Tamandua tetradactyla: one gene and its partner. The protein of the gene in region 1 binds, or shares a complex with, the protein of each later gene. Links are inferred from orthologs where the notes say so. Each region holds a gene or a part of one and is shown in the gene's direction. Other genes may lie near its edges.

Evidence for each region.
Region 2: the proteins of GBA1 (region 1) and SCARB2 are in contact, whole or in part, in a cryo-EM structure (PDB 9FJF), measured with the Homo sapiens proteins. The link is inferred for Tamandua tetradactyla from reciprocal best matches to the Homo sapiens genes GBA1 and SCARB2. Residues at the interface, in NP_000148.2 of Homo sapiens: Leu130, Asn131, Ala134, Ile169, Glu190, Lys194, Leu195, Pro430, Arg434, Ile445, Thr446, Asp448; in NP_005497.1 of Homo sapiens: Lys161, Ala162, Tyr163, Gln164, Lys181, Glu183, Leu187, Phe191, Arg192.

Annotation. Positions count from the first base shown.
Region 1 is NC_135330.1:8,182,534-8,189,850, reverse strand, and holds the start of GBA1 (lysosomal acid glucosylceramidase), read left to right. Parts: upstream 1-4,317; 5' UTR 4,318-4,491; coding exon 4,492-4,518; intron 4,519-4,901; coding exon 4,902-4,989; intron 4,990-5,241; coding exon 5,242-5,433; intron 5,434-5,557; coding exon 5,558-5,704; intron 5,705-6,019; coding exon 6,020-6,153; intron 6,154-6,367; coding exon 6,368-6,540; intron 6,541-6,768; coding exon 6,769-7,006; intron 7,007-7,280; coding exon 7,281-7,317. UniProt on the Homo sapiens protein: Glucosylceramidase that catalyzes, within the lysosomal compartment, the hydrolysis of glucosylceramides/GlcCers (such as beta-D-glucosyl-(1<->1')-N-acylsphing-4-enine) into free ceramides (such as N-acylsphing-4-enine) and glucose.
Region 2 is NC_135350.1:52,880,246-52,888,124, forward strand, and holds the start of SCARB2 (lysosome membrane protein 2), read left to right. Parts: upstream 1-4,865; 5' UTR 4,866-5,206; coding exon 5,207-5,323; intron 5,324-5,822; exon of another isoform or gene 5,823-6,170; intron 6,171-7,879.

The DNA of each region.
Region 1 (7,317 bases):
TTTTTAGTATAGTCATTCAACCATCATCACAATAGTAGAATATTTTCATCACCCCAAAAAGAAACCCACATACCCATTAGCAGTCACTCCTGGTTCCCTTCTCCTGCCTCCAGACCCAGGAAGCCTCTAAGCTGTATTCTGTCTCTGTGGATTTGCTTGTTCTGCACACTTCAGATGAATGGAATTACATAATATGCCGTATTTTGCACCTGGCTTCTTTTACCTTGTATAATGTCTTAGATTTCCTCCATGTTTTAGTATGTTTCAGTACTTCATTACTTTTTCTGGTCAAATGTTATTTCATGGTGTAACATCACAATTTACTTATGCATTCATCAGTTGATGGACGTTTGGATTGCTTTCACTTTTTGGTTATTATGAATTTTATTCACACACAAGTTTTTGTGTGGACATATTTTTCATCAGGGTGTAAATCTGGAAGTGGAATTGCTATCTCTATGGTGTATCTCTCTGGTGAACATTTTGAGAAACTGCTAAACTGTTTTCCAAAGTGGCTGCATCATTTCACATTCCCACCAGCACCTTACGAGGGTTCTGATTCCTCCACATCCCTGCCAACACTTGTTGTTGTCTGTCTTTTTTTGTTATATCTAGTGCATGTGAAGTGGTATCTCCTTGTGTGTGTGTTTTTTTGTAGTTTTTATTTATTTATTTATTTACTTATTTGCATGGGCAGGCACCAGGAATCGAACCTGGGTCTCCACATGGCAGGCGAGAACTCTGCCTGCTGAGCCGCCATGGCCTGCCCTCTCCTTGTGGTTTTGATTTGCATTTCCCTAATCACTAATGATGTTGAGCATCTTTGCATATGCTTATTGACCACTTGTATATCTTCTTTGGAGAAATGTCTATTTAAATCCTTTGCCCATTTATAATTGGATTTTGAGTATTAAGCTGTGAGAATTCTTTATATATTCTGGAGACTAGACAGAGAAATGATTTGCAAATATTTTTTCCCATTCTGTGGGTTGTCTTTCTATTTTCTTTTTTTATTTTTTTACATGGGCATGCACTGGGAAATGAACCCAGGTCTCCGGCATGGCAGGTGAGAACTCAGCCTGCTGAGCCACCATGGCCCACCCATCTTTATATTTTCTTGATGTCATCCTTTGAAGCACAAAAGTTGTTTTGTTTCATTTTTTTATGAAGTCCAATTTATCATTTTTTCTTTCTTCTTTTGACACTTGTGTTTCAGAATCATAAACCTTACGTAATCCAAGATCACAAATTTCTACTCCTGTTTTCTTCTAGGAGTTTTATACTTTTAGCTCTTACATTTAGGTCTATAATCCATTTTCATTTCATTTTAGTGAATAGTGTAAAGATTTAGGTTTACCTTTTTGTGTGTATATATCCAGTTGTCCCAATGCCATTTTTAAAAAACTCACCCCTTTCTCCCATTGAATTGTTACAATCAAATATTAAATTTGTGGGGACATGTGGAATGCACTGAGTTTTATTCATAAAGATCGTTTTTAGTATTTCTGTTTGTTGCATTTTTATTTTTGCAGCACAATAACTACATATTGAGAAGGTGATAAATGGTGAGGAGTACATATTGCAATTATTTATTCATTTGCAGGTATGGGTTTGTTTTTACTTCTCTTAAATTCTAATTTATCCTGTTTAAGTGAGTGCAAGATCTGACTACATTATGTCTTCTAGGTAGTCATGCCTAACCATTTATTTACTGAAAAGCATAATATATTATGAGTAACATTCTCATTATTTTCCCCCTTATATTCCAATAAAGACAATCATATTGATTCTTTTAAATTATGTGTGTAGGTAAGCTATATTACTCTGCATTTTATTTCAGGATAGTAAAAAATATGTTTAAAAATATTTGTTATGAAAAAGGGGTGGTGCTAGGCTTGTTGGGGGGCAGTGAAGTTCAAGGGCAAAAGCAGGGCTACTTGGTGGAGCTACCCCTTCCCAACTGAAAAATCAGGCTTGCCCAACCTGGGGGCTCTGGATTTTGTTTCATTACTCAAGAGGCATCCCCTGATCAATGTCTTGGTAGAACAGGGATCTAGAAATGTTACTATGTCACCAGCCCTTCAGAAGCTAACTTCTGTTGGGCAGGTAGAAAACTACAGAAAAAACCAGGGACGGTTTTCAAACAAAATAAATCAAACACTGCAGAGCAGCCTAGCATAGCATTTGGCACGCAGGAGGCTCTCAGGAAATAGCTACCATGTGCCATGGACTGTGACTGTCCATCTAGGGCTCCACCTCCGAGAAGCCAAAGGACTTGGAAAAATTTAATGACCTCTCATCTCAGGCTCCTTATCTCTAAAATGGTGAGAATAATGGTATCTGCTTTGTGAGAATGAAACGAGATGATGCACATAAAGTAGCACAGAGTTTAAGTATTCAATAAATATTAGCCTTTTTTTTTGTATGCTGTATGGTGACGGTCACATTTCGTTCTTTCCCGTTATTGCAGCACCATTTGTTGAATTTTTTTTTTTTGTAAGTGCATGGGTCAGGAATCAAACCCGGGTCTCTTGCATGGAATATTAGCTTTTATTATAACTAACTTTATTTAGAAAAGAAAATATAAAAGCCTTAAGGGCAAATCAATTGTGAGAGGAACTGAAAGATGAGACTCATCAGCCATGAAAACAATTGCAAACCGAAGGATAAAAAAGAACAAACAACACTTTCACAAACTCTGCCTGCAGAGGGAAAAGGCATAGAGTTGGGGAGGCGTCAGACCCAAAAAGAGCACAGCACAGGCAGGGTAAATGTAGCATTTGCTCAATAAATATTTGTGGAATGAATGAACTGGAAGGAAGTTACGTACTAGGCATCGCCTGAGCTCCTCCCAAGAATAATCCCTGAGCAAGATTTCCTGGAAGAACAGGAAGCCTGGATGGGGCAGATACTGACTTGGTGAACCATAGTTCAATTAAATTCATCAAATCAGTATCTACCCACCCTGTGCCAGCCCTCTGTGGGACCACCCTGTGCCAGCCTCTGCGGAACCACCCTGTGCCAGCCTCTGCGGGAGTATGAGGTTCTGCGGATGAGTAAAATGTTCCTTCAAGGCCCTCCGAGTTTCCTCCATAAATACAGATCTGACTTGTGGCAATATCTGGTGCCAAGCAGTGTACTAAATACACACATTATCATACTTAAAAAGTTAAACTTCACAACCAAGTTATGATGTAGGCGTTATCACTCCCCTTTTAGTTAAGGAACCGAGGCTTAGTGTGATGGAGTAATCTATGGAAGGTCAAACAGCCAGCAAATGGTGGGCTTGGGATTCAGACTCGGCCCCTCTTGCTGAAACCGAACTGGGGTGCTGCAGGAACCACAAGAAAGAAATGATCACTTTGCCCGGGGTGTGCCTGAAAAGGCTTCACTGAGAGGATAAAAAAAAAAAAAGACAGGAAACAAACAAGTGGTTCCCAAGTGCCTGCTAGGCCCCAGCACAGTGTTTATCTCTGTGATTCCGGGACCCTGAGGTTGTGGTATTACCTCCATTTTACAGGTGAGGAAATAGGCTCAGAGAGCTGGGGCGCGGCAGCTCGTAATTATGTATGCCACGTCCACGATCTCATGTTTGCTGTAGAGCTTCTTACATTCACTGAGAAGTGAACTTTGTACAACACTTTCTAGTTCCTGAACTATTTTACTTTACACAGCCTCCTGTCTGATGAGAAAGGCAGACGAGTTCTTACAACCTGCATGGGTTGATGAGGTGAGGTGGTGAGAGGGGTAGTGGTGAAGGCTCCCTCCCTCCCTCCGGCCACGCCACCCCACTGCCTGGATCCCATCCTCCCTACACGTGGCTGGTTAATAATCTCCTACTTGACTTTCACTTGAAGGACACCCTCCTCCGTGAAGCCTTCCTAGATAACTCCCCACCCATGAAGTGTCCCTCCGGTGTGTCGTTGAGCTCTCCATGTACATCTGTTACCATTTTTCTCTTTATTGGTCATTATCTGTATAAATGCCTGACTCACCTCATTTAGGGCCTCTCTCTATGAGGCTCAAACTACATCTTAATAGTCTCTGGAGCCTTGATATTTTACACAGTGAATCTCATTTATTATCACTGTTTAAAAATTTTTCTCAAGGAGGCAACATGCCTGCTCTGATCACCATTGTCTGGGACTCAGGGGCCTCTACCCTATCCTACACCCAGCTGTTTGAACGAGGCTCCTTCTAAAGTAACCTTCCCGAGTTCACAGAGTGTATAATGGTCACCAGCCCAGAGAAAGCCAGTCGCCCTTTACAAATATGGCTGCAATTGCCTCACTTCCGGTATCATGTGACACGCCCACAATCATCACATGACCTGCCCACTCTAGGAGGCCGGAATTAACCTGCGGGGCTAATCCCAGTGCCTACAGCTACTGGAGATAGAAGCATTCCTGTTCCTATTATTGAGTGGATCCTCTGTCTCTCCGAAGCTCTGGAACAGCTGCAGTCTTCTCCCCGTCCGGTGACCCTGAGGCGATGGAGCTTTCACGTCCTTCCAGAGAGGTGGCTGGACCGGGGATCCAAATCAGCCTCATCCTGCTGCTTCTGGAATCTTAATCTTGACCCTCTTGGCCCTGGAACTCAATGAATGATATAGACTCCCTTTGAGCTAGGAACAGATGAAAGGAGGGAGGAGTGGAGGGAGAAATGGTTGGGAAGAGGGATGCAGGAGGTTCCTGGTTGGGGTGGGCAGAGAGCTGTCACCAGCAGAAGGAGGCAGGGGTTGGAGGGAGGGCTACACCCATGTGTCTGTGGGCTTTGTCGCAACCCTCATAAAGGTGGGAGACTAGGCTGTGGGCACCTGCAGGCAGCCAAGCCCTGCCCTGGGGAATAGTTGACGGACTGAGAGAGGCTTGCCTTCTAGTCACTCCTCATTCTGGTCTCAGGAACATCCCATGCACCTGGGTAGGACAGGCGTCATGGCTGCCAGCTTCACAGGATTGCTTCTACTTCAGATGGTGTTATGGGCATCAGGTGAGTGAGTTAAAGGGGGGAGGTAGTACCACGGCTCCTTTCTGCCGTATAGTCCTTTGGTAGCTTTCTGGTCTACCAGTGGGACTTTTATAGGTGCTCAATAAATCCTTTTGAGTAACTGAGACCAACCTTGGAATGGGGGTACAGTGACAAGATTTTTGAAACCTGTATTCAGTCTCTTTTCAATCAATGAGTCAGTTCTCCCTGTCCTTGTCCTTCAACCCATGCTTCTGCTTGTGCTCCCCCTCTCAGGTGCCCGTCCCTGTATCCCTAAAAGCTTTGGCTACAGTTCAGTGGTCTGTGTCTGCAATGCCACGTACTGTGACTCTCTTGACCCCCTGACCCTCCCTGCCTCTCGCACGTTCAACCGTTATGAGAGCACACGCAGTGGGCGACGGATGGAACTGAGCGTGGGGACCATCCAGGCCAACCGCACAGGCACAGGTAACCACTGTCCCCCTCACCCCAAGTCAAGCTGGGATCCTCCTGGAGATAAATCATGCCAGTGATCACCATGGAGTTTCTCCTCTGTGCACTTACACTGTTTATTCCCTGTGGATGTCCTCAGGGCTGCTACTGACCCTGCACCCAGAACAGAAGTTCCAGAAAATAAAGGGATTTGGAGGGGCCATGACAGATGCTGCTGCTCTCAACATCCTTGCCCTGTCACCCCCTGCCCGGAATTTGCTGCTCAAATCGTACTTCTCTGAAGAAGGTGAGGAGGAGGGGAACAAGATGCCATTGTGCAATTGACACTTTTCTCTGACCTTTCCTTGTCCCTTACTTCTACCCATCCCTGAAACTTGGGTCCTCTCTTACTGTCCAACTCTACCTACTCATGTTGTGCTAAGTGCTTGGGAGCTCTTGGGGTCAGAAGGGCCTGGCTTCTGAGCTCCACAGGCCCCATCCTAGGAGCCCAAGTCCCCTTTGGCCCTGATTTAGACTTATTTAGGACAGGAAAATGATAGACCAGGTACCCATATCTTCCTATTGATTCAGACTTCCATATCTTGGTCATCCTTTTCTGCAGGAATTGAATACAACATCATCCGGGTACCCATGGCCAGCTGTGACTTCTCCATCCGTATCTATACCTATGCTGACAACCCTGGTGACTTCCAGTTGCACAACTTCAGCCTCCCAGAGGAAGATACCAAGCTCAAGGTGGGCACTCTGGCTGCCTCAAGCCCTGGTAGCATTGCCTGGAAGTTGAGGAGACTCAGGATAGAGCAGTTTGCAGAGACACCGAACCTGCCCCGTGCTGTTTTGCCCCGGGGTTGGAGGGTGAGGACTGATGGCTGGGCCTGATGCACTGGTTGGGCCAGTCTCTGTATATTCCAAACCTGGGTATCTCTCTGCTTACTACCTTTTTCCCTAGATACCCCTGATTCACCAAGCCCTGGACTTGACTCGACGTCACATCTCACTCTTTGCCAGTCCCTGGACATCGCCTTCTTGGCTCAAGACCAATGGGGCCGTGAATGGGAAAGGGACACTCAAGGGTCAGCCAGGAGATATCTACCATCAGACCTGGGCCAACTACTTTGTTAAGTAAGGAAGCAGCAAGGCTATGGGATCTGGACTCTCAGACACCCTGGTCTGTGTCCCAGTTCTCAAACTGATTGTACCTCCAGGCCTGACTCTCCTAGCTCACTGTCTACCTTCTAGTACCTTTCTACCTTGGACCCTTCAGTTTTGCCCACTTCAGCAGGCCTCCCATTCCCCAGGGTCATGGTCCCCTTTCTCAGCCACGCTCACTCACATCCTTTCCTCCGCCAGGTTCCTGGATGCCTATGCTGAGCACAAGTTACAGTTCTGGGCAGTAACAGCAGAGAATGAGCCTTCTGCAGGGCTCCTTAGTGGGTACCCCTTCCAGTGCTTGGGCTTCACCCCTGAACACCAGCGAGACTTCATTGCCCGTGACCTGGGTCCCACCCTTGCCAACAGTACTCATCGCGATGTCCACCTGTTCATGCTAGATGACCAACGCCTGCTGCTACCCCACTGGGCCAAGGTGGTAAGGCTCCAGGATTTCCACGGGTGCCCTAGTAACCCCCAAGTCCAGGGTCTAAATTACTGGCTCCCAGGACTTTGTATGCCTTCCCTGCTCCCAACTGTTGATTCCTACAGCTCTCTGGCTCTCAAGGACCTCTCCCCATTAGTTGTCTCTTTAACCCCTTTAGTTGCATTTACCCTACCATCTATTTGCCAGGTCCCCTGGTTCCTCTGCACAGAGGATCCTGGTTCAGTGGCTTCCCCTTCCCCAGCAGTCTTTCTCCTTCTCTGCACAGGTGCTTTCGGACCCAGAGGCAGCTAAGTACGTCCATG
Region 2 (7,879 bases), on another chromosome or scaffold:
AAAAAACCCAGAAAATAGTAAATGTTGGCCAGGATGCTGAGAGATGGGAACCCTGGTGGTAATGTAAAATGGTGCAGCTGCTGTGGAAAATAGTTTAGCAGTTCTTCAGAAAGTTAAACATAGAATGCCTAATGACCTGGCAATTCCACGTCTAGATATATATCCAAAAGAATTGAAAGCAGTGACTTGAATAGATATTTGTATACCAATGTCCATAGCAGCATTATTCATACTAACCAAAGGGTTGAAAAAAATCCAGTGCCCATCAATAGATGCATGGATTAAAAAATGTTATATATACATACAATGGAATTTTATTTGGCCAAAAAAAAGGAAATGAAGTGCTGATACATGCAACAACACTGGTGAACCTTGACGATATCATGTGGAGTGGATTAAGTCAGACACAAAGGACAAATATTGAATGATCTCACTTATATAAAATACTTATAACATGCAAATTCATAGAGACAGAAAGTAAATTATAGGTTTCTAGGGCTTAGGAAGGTGGGAAATGAGGAGTTATTGTTTGATGGGTACAGAGTTTCTGTTTGGGGTAATGCAAATGTTTTGGTAATGGATGGTGGTATTAGCAGCACAACATTCTGACTATAATTACTATTACTGAATGCACACATGAGAGTGGTAAAATGGGAAATTGCGTGTTGTATATGTTATCACAACTGGAGAGAACAAAAGCTGCCAGGCCTCATCAGCTTCGACCTGGAACTGGCCCAGTGTCAGTTCCATCACATTGCACTGGTCGGAGCAGGCCACAAGGGCAGCCTAGATTTAAAGGAGGGAAAATAGCCTCCACTTTCATGCGAGGGGCAGCACCAGCCTACAAAGATAGCAAGAATTGTTGGCAATGATATTTGGAGACTAACTACTGTAACGCATTATAAAAATTGTAGTATATTTTAAATGCTTACATTTAACACTAGCACATTTAGCATAAAAGTATAGGATGAGTGTATTAGTGAGCTTGTTTGAATAAAATATCATAATTCCAAATTTAAGGCGGGGATCAAATATCCCTTCATGTTGCCCCATGATAGGCCTGTCTTAGAGTCTGTGAGAGAAGTTTTTCTTTTCTTCTTTCTGAGTCCTGACTGTGCAATTTGCAGCAGGCACCAATAGTCATTCATTCCTAAGTGTCCTGGTTTTTCTCAGATGAAAAAGTGTTCTGGTTTTGAGTATGAAAAAATCCCTGATTGCCTCCTTTCAGGGCATCAGCCTTCCCAAGCCGAATGGTGGGAGTAGTCCCAGGCCCGTCTGGCCTCCAGAGTGCGTTAGTGGGTTGTTAATTTGTTTACCTGCCATGCAGTAGCCACTCCTTTCATTTAGAAGGTGGAATATCATCTGCCATGTGAGATGATTCTATGGCACAAAAAGGACCTAATAATGCCAAACAGCAGTGGAGGAGATGTGCCCCATTGATTGGAAATGAGGAGGTCCGAGTGGTTTTGGAGAGCTTGTATCAGAATGTTGGGGATTCGAGCCAGGCAGGTGGCCATGGGCTGGAGAAGACGGAAGGGAACAGAAAGACCACCACCCAGGTACGTGCCAGACCTTTGTGACAAGACATAAATTATTGTGGGGTCACAGACTGCAATTCTGGGGACATGCGTTCCTTTAAAAAAAAAAAAGCAGTTTATATTTTCTTTATTTTGGTCTCTATTGTTCTCTCAGTGTTCAGTACATTTTTAAAATTCTAGTCTGGTCAGCTGTACTAAGAGGAAGCAAGAAAGAGGTTTTTGTCCAGCTTGGACTAGAATTTTAAAGGGGAAGCAGCTTACCATGCGCCTGACACAGTGGTAATGAACAGACTAGGGTTAGCAGAGTGTGAGAACCGCAAATGAAAGGTAAACGGAGGGCATCTGAGTTGGAACCTCTTGTTAGAAACTCTCCCCACACCCAGATATGTTTCTCTAACCTGCTTCTGGTCTCTAGTCCCTAGTCGGTTATTCTACTGGTGTACCACATAAGAACGGACCTCCTCCAATGAACAATGGGAAAGGAGAGGGCACTGGGATTGGTGGTCCCAGCTTGGAGGTGGTGGGTAACTATAGAGTTTGCTTTTAAGCATGGAGCCAGCAAGCAGAAAATCTGGTCTAGCAGTGTTTCAGTTTGCATATGAACTGCTGGCTGCCACATATTTAGGCAGACAGGTTACTCAATCTTGTTCTAGTTATGGAAAGAGAGAACCCACAGATTGCAGCAGGAGCCCAACCAATTCCTGAGGAAGGGGACCAGTGAGGAAAGGGTGAGCTGGCGTGGCCTATAAGCAGACTGGTTTGTGTGGGGCAGAACTAAGGGAGAGAACTGGAATCCAAAGCAGCAATGGAGGCAAAACGGACTGTGACCACGGCAGGAGTGGTTGGGGAAAGGTTGCCCATTTGGAGCACGTAAGGACTTGGGCATCCCCGGGTGCACTGGCCACCAGGCTTGGGACAGTTGAATAATTCCTGACCCCGTCCAGATTCTATTAGTGCCCAGGCCTGGTTCTCTGGGGTTGCTGCTCAAAATCTTTGGTGGCTTCAGCTGGATAGAGTTGGGGTGGGCAACCATTGTCATTGCCAGGGCCCTACCCTCACCATTTGCTCCCATTATCTATAATTGAGCAACACACTACCCCATAACTTAGTGGCTTAAAACTTGGTATGCAATTAATACCACTGAATTATACACTTAAAAAATGAATGCAATTAATATGACTGAATTATACCCTTTAAAATGGTTAATATGAGAAATTCTGTGTTATAAATATATGTCACCACAATAAAAATGCAAACAACAGCAATCCTTTATTTTGTTCTCAAATCTGCATTTAGGGGAGGGCTCAGCAAGGACAAACCGGTCTCTGCTCCATAATGTCTGTGGCCTATGACTCACAGAGTTGGGAGCAGGAAAAGTTGCAAGTCTCCTCTTGCAGAATCAGGATAACCCCCTGCAGTGTCTGTGTTCTCTCCAGCATGCAGTCTCAGGGTAACTGAACTCAGTGGGGGCTCAGATGGCTAAGAACAAGGATTCCCCAGAGGCCTAGACAGAAGCTGCAAGGCATTTATGACCTAGCTCCAAAATTTTTAGAATATGGTCATTTCCACTGTAGTTTTTTGTTAAGTAAATCACTCCGTTCAGTCGACATTCAAGGAGAAGGCAGAGATTTCACCTCTCAGTGGGTGGGGTGCCAAAGAATTTGCCACCGTTCTTTTTTTTTAATTTTTAAAAAATATTTTTATTGAGAAATAGCCACACAGGTACAGTCCAACCACTTTGCCACCGTTCTTTATCTATCGCACCATCTTGCGGCAATGCGCGAAGAAGAAAAGACTTCTTCAGTGAAGTCTCCTGTCTCCCTCTCCCCAGATTATCACTGTGGCAGCTGGGAGGCAGCTATCCACAGAAGAGACCAGTGAAGGATTTGGGGGCCACCAGTGCTACAATGTGGTGCAGGATCCACCACTCAGCAACTGGATGAGCTTTTTAGGTTACTTCAACTCTGAGAGCCCAGGTTCCCGCCTGTGCAAAATGGGGCTAATACTGCTATACTGGCTGTGAGAATATACTTCTCAGATCTCCCAGTGCAGGGCGCATAACTGACTAATGGCTCTGCCCCAGCTGCTGAATTCTGAAATCTATCCTCCGATATTTAACCCCTTGTCTCAGAAGCCAGCTTCCAGCCCAGGACTGAACACAGCAGGGATACTAAGGCAACTTGGCCAAAGGTCTCCCCACAGCCTGACTGAACTTTCTCAGAACTGCATTGCAGTCTAAGATGCTTCCTTCCACCCAATGTTCCTTCCATGCCTTTCTCCGTCCCCAAGCTCACACCTCCTTGCCTAGTCCAGCTCCCTGTCCATTTTCCCCTCATAAGTGCTGCCCCTAATAAATCTTTTGCACAGCTACTCCTGTCTGGAGCTAATTCTTGGGGAACTGGGAAAAACACAGCCACCAACTCACAGGGCTGCTATGGACGTTACCGGAGTAGGCGGGTACAATCACCAAACCAAGGCCTGGCATATAACTGACACTCATTCATCCAACTAAGATTTATCGGATATCTATTTATGTGTAGGCTTTTAGGCTGGATGTCTGGCACATACTGGTGAGCAAAGCAGACAAAGAACACCACCAGAACTACCTGCTTTAAAGCTTTTTGACCACTCCCACTGCTGAGACATAAAGTCCCAACTCTTCAGCTGGACACACAGAATCCTTCAAAATATGAACCTTTGGAGCCTCTCCACCTTCCATCCCACACTGCACACCCGAGTTCACAAGGAAGTTCTTTCCTCCTTCAGTTTTGCTTTTTCACCCCCCAAAGCCGTTGAACATCTGTTATTTCTCCTTGAAATGCTGCCTCTTTCCCCTGCGCACATCCCTTGCCTGCCACTCTTACATATCCCAAGCCCCCAAGTTCTATTATAGGGTCCAGGTACCCAGACAGCACGTGCTTGTTAGCACAGATCTCAGCACACACCTTTTAAAAGCATTTGCTGCGCTGTGCTATAATTGCTCGTAACAGTGTACAGCAGGAGAAAAGACCTCTTCATCCTTCACTCCCCAATGCTCGGCACACGGTAGGCTCCAGCTAAGTAGCTACACAGTGGTAAGTGGATCAGCGAACTAGGGAAAGCGATTTTCCTGGGGTGACCGCGGGGCCTGCGGCGAGAAGGTCGAGAAGCGGCTTGGGTTGGGGAGGGAGCCTCGCCGTCGCGGGACTCGGGTTCGGTCGCTCTAGCACCGGCTGAATCGCGGCAGCCACCGCCGGGCACATGACCGCTGGCTCAGCCTCCCGCCCCGCCCGCTTCCCGGCGCCGAGGCCCAATCCTCCCTCCCCGGGCTGCGGCGAGCAGGGTCGGCGAGCGTCACAGCCTGCGCGCTCCCTCCTTTCCTCCCTCCCTCCCGAACTGAGCCAGGCGGGACGCCGCGGCTGTCCCTCCCCGGCCTCGCGAAGGAAACCGAAACCAAAGCCGGGTCCCTCTACGCTCCCACCCCGCCTGCGGGGTGCAGAGGGGGCCGCGCTCGCCGGGTTGCAGGGCCGAGAGCCCGCGCGTGCTGCGCGAGCCGAGCGCGGGGAGGACGCGGGCGCCGGAGCCTTCCCGGTTCTTCCGGCCGCTGGCAGCCGAGACCGCGACCGGTTCCTCCCTCTTCCCCGCTGGATCGCGGGCGGCCGCGGCCCCGTGCGTGAGCGGCGCGCAGAATGGGCAGGTGCTGCTTCTACACGGTGGGGACCCTGTCCCTGCTTCTTCTGGTGACCAGTGTCACGCTGCTCGTGGCCAGGGTCTTCGAAAAGGCCGTGGACCAGGCGATCCAGAAGGTGAGTTTGGTGGCTGTGTGTGTGTGTGTGTGTGTGTGTGTGTGTGTGTGTGTGCGCGCGCGCGTCCGGCAGGTAGGGAGGGGGAGCTCCCAGCGCGCTCTCCCAAAGCTGTACCTTTTGCGGGGAAAATCTGCACTTGGGCAAATCATCCGGACTGGTGCCTTGCTTTCTTCCTTCTCTTCTTGGGGTTGATAAATGAGAGTTAGAGACCGATGTGGACTATGTTTTCTTGATCATAAATAAGAATGTGGGTTTACGCCGCAAAAAATCTTTCGCTTTTGTTCTGTCATTTGCATCACCACCACTACCCTCTCCCCCGCCCCCCGGCAATACACCCCAATCTCTGTTGGGCCCAAACTCATTTCGCTCCCACCTCATGAAGAAAGAAAACTAAATAAAACACACTATAGAAGAGAGGTTATGTTGGCTGCTTGCCGTGGCCTCTGAAGTGGTGTGGGGCTGGGGATGGAAGCGGCTGTGTGGTCTATTGTATTCTTACTTTCCTGAGCTGGGCAGGGCAGCGGGCAGCGAGGTCAGGCCCGTTGACTGGGTGACATTTCAGTCCATCATAGTCGGTGCTTACCCTCCATGGCTGCATATCTTGTATCACGGTCTGCTGCTTTGTGCTGCTTTGTCTCGTCATTCATTCTTGTTCTTCTCAAACAGTGATAATCTTCAGGCAGAGATGCATGGAGAGTCTTAGAATCTGAATCTCTCTTCCCCCTGGATGAGTGGGCTGGAGAACTAGTCATTTCCGAAGACTTCCTCCGCTTTTGACTTCACTGGTCATTTCTTTTGCCCTTTCACCCAGGCCCAGAAAGCTGTGTGGAAAGAGGAACAGGAGAGAGTTAATGGGATCACAGTTTCCTTAAAAAAAAATTATTCAAGTGCCTTCTCTTATTAGCACCCTAACCACATGTGTCCTGTGACATCTCCCAGTTGGTCAGATTCAAAGCCCAGGCCTCGTCCAGTTGGAGTCACTGCGCTGGCCAGTTAGAACATTTGTCTTCTTCCAGGTGGTAAGGAACGTATTCCTTTAATATAAATTTTCCGAAGCAAGCAATTATTCGAAATCTGGCAGTTAAGAGAAGAAGAAGAAAAAGAAAAAAAAAAGCACCATAACAAGGCATAATTTAATTTTTAAAAAGCTCACGTTGCCAAAGGAAGATGAGCCCACTGTATGGGCTTCTCAAAGCTCAGTGCTGACCTTGAACACTGATGTTTAAAATAAAAATAAACTGAATCCTTTCTCCATTTCCGCCCACCTTCAGATCCATGGTGAGAATTTTTGAGGATATAAATTTTCGTCTTTAGGTGACTAGAGTTAAGCAGTCCTACTGTAGTCAATATATGAATTTTCTTGTGTCAATTTGAAAGCCAGTTTCCCAGTGCCTCAGGTATAGCTGGCCCTCAGGCCCTCTGAGGGTTTCTTCAGTTGTACCCAGAAACTGTGGGTCTCTATTTCTTGGTGGAGAGGGAAGTCGTTGTGAGGCAGCTTGGCTGGATAAATCTGGGCTTGCTTTGATATTTGGTGATTGACTTTTACCCCCATAAGGAATGGACGCTGTTTTGACTGATAATGTACAAGGGAAGTGGACTTTCACAATTGCCTAACTCCAGCTGAGTAACACTGTACAATGTGGTATATAAAACTAAATGACAGGGTGCACGGGTGTTTCAGTGGTAGAATGCTAGCCTTCCACGCGGGAGACCGGGGTTCGATTCCCGGACCATGTACACCCCCCTCCCCCCCCGAAAACTGAAAAACAGAAAAGCAAAAAAACCCCTAAATTATAGGACTAGTTTCATTGGACAGATTTGGGAATATTGTAAGTCAGTCAGGTCACACATTACCATTCTGTTCTTTCCTGGATGATCTGCGGGACGGTACCGTCGGGCAGTGGGAAGGAAGAAAGACTGCTCGTGAACACTTCTAAGCACAAATCCTGACTCGATCATGCTGCATGACCATGAGCTAATTATCTCAACTTTCTTGATCCTTAGTTTCCCCATCGGTGAATGTGGATCAAAATGACTAATGTACACAGAATTTTTAAGGAATAATTAGAGGAAGTGAGTGTAATTTCTCTGGGCTATAGTTAATGCTTAATAAGTGATAGTGATTTTATTTTTGCTAGAAGCCGCACAGAGAAAAAGTGCGTGACATTTGCAGTTGGACTCACATATTCAAACCCAGGCCTTTCCATTTACAAGCTTTGTGTCTTTGGGCAAGTTACCCAACTTCCCTGAGCTTCACTTTCATTATTTGTTACAGGTGACTTGTTAACTGCCTTGGGTACAGTGGAGCATTCCCCGTGAAGCTCAAGAAACTTAAGCTTCAGGGCCCTTCACTTGCCCAGGTGCTTCTTTGGGCCTTGATGCTCTTCCTAATTTCGTATTCTTTTTTTTAGAGAGGGCCTCCTCAAATTATATAAGCTTCAAGACCCGCAAAACCTGTGTCTCCCTCTCTGTGTGTGCCATTGTAGGACTAAGTGAGGTAATCCATATAAAGCACTTAGTTAATCAGGCACGGAGCAGGTGATCAATATTTGGAAG